2 separate regions of the Mus musculus genome follow, and region 1 is reported to be linked to region 2. Evidence: microRNA targets listed by miRTarBase, many of them from high-throughput screens and not tested one by one. Region 2 holds a microRNA gene; the other region holds the end of a gene's coding sequence.
What was found. The annotated mature microRNA mmu-miR-5101 reads UUUGUUUGUUUUGCUGAUGCAG and lies in region 2 at 1,433-1,454, shown strand. An mRNA with a match to its seed (bases 2 to 7 or 8) in the 3' UTR can be bound and repressed. Matches are read on the target gene's strand: a 7mer-m8 pairs with bases 2 to 8, a 7mer-A1 pairs with bases 2 to 7 and ends in A, and an 8mer does both.

Region 1 (3,000 bases), not on the chromosome of region 2:
CAGCACATTAGCCTGTAATGGACTCCGATTTCTAAGATTCACCTTCAACGTTGCCCATTCAGAATACCACAGTTAGAACTTAGGAAGAGGAGTGGCCAATTGTGTGACTAAGGTTATAAACAAGAAGGGGCTGTCGGCATACTGTCTATTTTATGGTTCACAATCATTTTCTTTTCCTAGGATTATCAGACTTGGCTTGACCTCAGAGAATTTGAAACTCGCATTGGAGAACGTTACATTACACACGAAAGTGATGATGCTCGCTGGGAAATACACGCATACACGCACAATCTGGAATACCCAAAGCATTTCATTATGGCCCCCAACCCAGACGACATGGAGGAGGATCCTTAGTTGTCAGTGCGCCGACCTCAATAAGGAAGGATTTCACTTCAAGAGCGGATACTTTGCTGCATGGCTGGTGGCCTCTGCAGGCTACCATTGCAAGGCGGCAGCACCGTGAGGAAGTAGAAGGACTTGTGGCATCAGTTCTGTAGCTCATAACGAGTAGGTACATGAAGGGAAACTGAGTAATAAAGTCAAAATGGAACTTCTATAAATTTTTATAGCATAAGCAATAACTGGTTCTGTAATTTTTCCTAATCCTTCACATTAGCACAATGTGAGTTAGCACTTAATTTATCTCTTTTACCTCTCCTTTTCTGTTATTACATCATTTGTTTTAAAGGCCTATGACTGTCTAGTTATTGCTTATAAGGTTGATTACTCAACAGGTTTGCAGTTAAGCAGTAACCATGAGGCTAACAGCATACAGCTTGCTGTAAGGACCTTTAGTGTTTGTCCACTGTCGGAGGCATTGCTTCCTCCTTCCTGGACCCGATAAGCAGACCATTGTACTGCTGGCCTTCCGGTGGATGCGTCTTTCCATATGGCCTGTATGACAGAAGAGTTGTCACATTTTCCATGTTATAACAGTCACTAGGATAATCGAACAATTGGTGTTACAAATGAATAGAAATAGCTGGTCATCACTCAGCTCTGCCTCTGAACACGTATGTTCTCAATTGGCACCATCATGTTACAGTATGCCACAGTCGGTGGGCACAACGCTGCATTTAACTAATTTATCCTCACCTGGAGTTGAATAATGTATAGACAAAATCACATACTAGAGAGGGAAGCTAACACAGGTCAGTAGATGTCACTGTTATCTGTTTCCTCTTCCCTTGGCCTTTGGATGGGGTTTCCAATACCTAGTGTTTTTAAATTAGCATTGTCGTTTGAGCAGTTTGGAGGAGTGACTGAAGTCAAACATGAAAACTTAGTTTATTGAGGTGGGACCTAATTACCAGTAGAGCGGATGGAGAAGGAGTAAGAACGTCTTACACTTCAGCTCCAACAGCCAGCTGTTTTGTAGTAGTTATTAATACAAGGTCAGTATCCCTATCTGAGCTGCTCTACACCAGGAAGGTTTCACTGCCAGATACTGAAATGTTTGCACACTCTACTAGTTGAGCATCCCTGACCTACAAATCCGAAATCCTCCAAATTCAAGAAACTTTGGAGTCCTTCAGATTTCCACATTAGTGATATTCCCACCTGTGCTTTACCCAAAGAGAAAAAGATCCAGGACCATCCTCTCACAAGAAATATAGTAGCTGTTTGTTTCTTCATTCCTCACTAGTCACAAAAAAAAAAAAACAAAACAAAAACAAAACAGGTTTTTCTTGTTGTTTTTCCTTTTCTGTGCTGAGAGCAAGAATTTGGAATGAGAAAGCCTGGGTTTAAGCCTAAGTGTCTTTACTCTGTGGATCTGTGGGGCTGAGCAGATAACATTGTCTGAGCATTTGTTTGACTTAGTTTCTCAGTCTGTAGAGTAGACACCATAAATTCTTCCTTCTGCCTTCCTCCATGTGGCTGTGAAGATTGGGCTATGTGACCACTTGTGACAATCTGGAATGCCAGGGTTGTCGCTTACCACGGGCTCTGAGATAGCAAAGGAAAAACTGTGTGTGTGAGCAGACCAAAACTAAGTGCCATCCCAGATGAGAATGCAGCTGCAGTGATCTGTCTAAAATTAAAAATGTTCTTGAGGTGACAGAAACAGCAGGGGTGCCCGGTTGTAAATGTTTATGCTTTGAACTGTCCTCACAATAGTCACATGACTAAGCACACTTAAAGTTGAGGCACAGGGTTAGTTGTCAAAGTGCATTGAGTTTAAATATGGATTTAAACCCAGGCCTATATCCCCAATCCCTTTACCCGTCCCAGCCATTGACAATGTACTGTACATCTGTAAGAATTTCCAGAAGACTTTCCAAACTGTCTCTGTAATTGTTTTCATACAGTAGTTGTGAAGAGTAATTTTAAGAAACTTCTAAGAATGGATTTTTCCATTTCTGCTAAGTCTGCTTGACCAGTATGTACAAGGTGGAACTCGTGTGTGTCACTAGGCAGCCCACGGTGGTTTTACCATGGGAGGTGAGAACTAACTGAAATGACTGCTGGTTTGCTGTACTTCTGTAATCAGACTTTACAAGCCATGACATTAATTGCACTCTGTTTTTGTCAAAGCCCTGTGCTGTTTAAAGAGAGACTGTAAAGGCGCTGTCACGGTGCGGAGTTGAGTAACCACTCCACTGTTTAACCTGCATAACTTTTTGTCATTGTCTTAAAGCCAAGCTGTGTTTGCATATATGAAAGTAATTGTTTCTTAGAAACATGTGACAATTTTCAAAGTAGTGTATAATGACACTGTTTAGTACATTTTATATTTTTTGTTACATCCCACTTTTTGTAAATATTCTCAAAACTTGATAATAAAATGTATTTCTCTATCACCATACTTTCCTATGTGAAAACCTTAGACCATCTCTAGTATAAGGATCTCAAGAGAGTTGTATTTGGTTATAATATTTTCCCCGGGCCTGAGTAACAGGAGTTTTTTTGTAAATATAGCCAATGCTACATGAGCACATATATATTTATATATCCTCTGTGAAAGACAACCCTTTAAAGTCATTTCAGGTGTATACTGCA
Region 2 (3,152 bases):
CATGGGGCGCCTTCTTTATGGGAAGGGAGGGTGGGGAGACTTGAAAAACTCAAAATTATAAGTTTCAAGGAAATGGAAGAGGATGATGAAGACATACATATCTGTTTATAATTGATCATTTAAATATTATGCTCTTCCAAATTGGAGGCATCATTCTAAACTGGGCTAGGTTTTATTTATATATAAAACATGGAGAACAGTACTACATATAACTTTTTGTCTTCTCTGAAGTTTTGTTTTGTTTTTTTTTTCTGGGCTTTTGTTTGTTCATTTGTACTTTGAGATAGGGTCATATGTAATGAGGTTGGTCTTGAACTCCCGATTCTCCTGTAAGTGTTAGATTACAGGAGTGTGCCATCATGCCCAGCTTTGGATTTACATTTCACTGGTTCAGTAATCATAGTAGTTAGCTAGCACAAAATAAGAATATAATCAGTGGTTCTTAACGTTCCTAATGGTGTAACACTTTAATACAGTTCCTTACGTTTGGTGACCCCCAATCATAAAACTATTTGTTGCTACTTCATAACTGTTATTTTGCTACTGTTATGAATTGTAATGTAAATATCTGTTCTCTGATGGTCTTATGCAACCCACAGGTTGAGAACCGCTAATATAATAAACAGGCGGTTTAGAGTCGGCTCTGAGTTAGCCCCAGGATTTTCCACAGCTGAATTAGTTAATGATAGTTTCACAGCCTTCTTTGTGCAGGTGGGGATAGCTTCTGAAAAAGTAACCTAATGTAGCTAATGAAGACTTACTAATTAGTGTGAATAAGGCCTGGGAAGCCTAAGCTATTGACACAGTTACACAATGTTACTAAGACGGACGAGCTGGAAGGCTTGGATCTGCTATGACTGATAAACTTGCTTTTTCCCATCAGCTGGACGCAGTGTAAAGTCACATGGCTATGTTAAGGTGAATCTGCTGTGATAGCCCTGTGTCATTGTGCTCTTGCATCTCCTAAGTCCTAGCCACCCTTCCTGAACCATTCCTTCCATTTCTGCTGCTGCAGTGTGGTGGTATTGAATACTCAAACATTGCTGGCAACCTTGCCCTTTACTGACATCACATACTGACATCTGGATTTCTTGGCACATTTTCAAAAGTAAAATCTGTCAACATTTTTTTGCCTCTCCTTCACAGAAATTTACTGGAGAAAAAAAGTTCCTAATTCAACTTGATGCTTCTTTTCAAAAATGTGAAGAAATGTATAAGAACTCGGGTAAAGTATCCTAGTTGCTTTTTAATGGGTCAGCTATCATTTCAAGATGAGTATTGTTTTACTTTGATGGTTTGGACATTAACTGTTTTCATCCCTGCTTTCCTTTCTTTTGCTTTTAATATTGTTAGGCAACATGCTTGTTGGTTAATGCAAATAATTTTCTTAGTATCAGTTACAAACAAAAACCGTTTTGTAAGACTTGTTGTTTTTGTTTGTTTTGCTGATGCAGCCAGAGAATGTGAGAGTATTAGAGAGGAGTATATGATGCTGGAAAAGAATGTTCACTCGTGCAGACAATACATCCATAACACGAAGGCCACACTGCAAAGAGCACTGATGTCTTGGGCAACTTTCGAGGAAGATCTCGCCCTACTAAAGGCTTCTTTTGACTTGACAAAGAAGGAACAAATTAAAGAGGTATTTGAAGTCAATGGTTCTATCCCAGTTTTACATTTTATTTTTGGAGACTGACTACATACATACACCATTCAAGTTAGGGATTAAAGGCATGCATTACCATGTCCAGCTAGAATGAACTTTTCTATTTCTTTTTGTTTGGAAGCCCATTTTGAGTCCAAAAGTTGAGTGTCAACAAAGGAGTAAACATATCTTCTAGAAAATTCTTCAAGAATTTGGGAAGAACTTAGTTTTTTCCTAATGTAATTGTCAGAGAGTATTTCCTTTGAATTGTACACACACACACACACACACACACACACACACGTTTACATAATAATACAGCTTTTTTTTTTTTTTGGATCACTCTATCAAGAACCTGGAGACAGGTTCTTGGCTATATGATCTAGGCTGGCTTCAGAGTCAAGACTCTCCTGTTTTCATGGGACTTCCTTTCTGATAGGATTACAGGCATGTCCTACCATGCCTACCTAAATCACTGTTTTTAAGAATTACAATTTTCCATTTAGTTAAAACCTTTTTCCCCTACATCTTTTCTGAATTTCCCTCCTACAGAGGGTCCCAGATTCATTTGATCAATAGAGGCTAATACCACCTTCATGATGGTTTTCCTTAGTCTCTAGGCCAAGAATTATTTAACACGTCCCAATTTAAGTCATCTAGTTTCTAGTTCCACAACTTAGTAGCAGCATGGGTTCTAGGAGATAAATGCTGCTGAGACCACGCCAGAGTTAAAAAGCTCTAACAAGATCTCTGGCATCATGGCAGAGGTTCGGGATTGTATGTTCAAGATGGCATTTTCTGAGTTATGTATATTTTAATATCAGATGTGTGGAAGGAATGTCAGTGCAACTATTATTTTTGTATGCCAGCTAGGAAATAGCATGTGTTTCTGTCACTCGCTTTTGTAGTTGAAAGTGGACCAAGACAGCCTTTCACTCTGAATGGAGCAGAATTACTTTGTGGACAGTAGGCTCTTGGTATGGAAGAAATGCAGGGAGTATAGGAGTGCACAGAGAGCACCTTAGACTTAGAAAGTTCCCTCGTCTCCCTGTCACCTGGGTTGGTCCTATAAGCTCATACCATTGGTTTTCAATAGTTCTTCTGTCTTTCAGGGTCTGATATTAAAATGTACATAAACCTGGGGAAAGTTGCCGTCTTGAATGTGACTCTGCTGAGATACTCTGGGCTTCCAGAGATCTTAAAAGAGACTTTGAATTTTACAGGAGACTTGGTAGCATCTATCACATAGACACTGTGCCAGTATTACATATTTGCCCTAGATGACTTAGGAAATTCTTGGCCTTGATATTAAATATCAAGTATCAAGGCAATATTGCCTCTATTGAAACCATTACCAGAGTGGTATGGCCTCTATTAATCAGATGAATCTAAGAACCTTTGTTAGTTTATCAGATACTTAGAAAAGTTGACCAGGCATTTCTGAAGAGTCCTGGGCCAGGAGGACAGTGTCGAGCACCTGCTAGGCAGCAACCCCAGAAAACAAGCT

Region 1: the mRNA of Prkd3 is a reported target of mmu-miR-5101. Seed matches in the 3' UTR shown: 7mer-A1 at 1,660-1,666, 7mer-A1 at 1,665-1,671 and 7mer-A1 at 1,671-1,677.

What each region holds. Positions count from the first base shown.
Region 1 is chr17:78,949,211-78,952,210 of GRCm38, reverse strand. It overlaps Prkd3 (protein kinase D3), which reads left to right. Exons shown (of 19, transcript NM_001171004.1): 19 at 181-2,806. The coding sequence ends at 354. Among named protein-coding and RNA genes, the nearest start is that of Ndufaf7, 14 kb to the right of the region's middle.
Region 2 is chr12:75,907,722-75,910,873 of GRCm38, forward strand. It overlaps Mir5101 (microRNA 5101), which reads left to right and starts at 1,382; the gene lies at 1,382-1,464. It overlaps Syne2 (spectrin repeat containing, nuclear envelope 2), which reads left to right. Exons shown (of 116, transcript NM_001005510.2): 15 at 1,147-1,225; 16 at 1,455-1,642.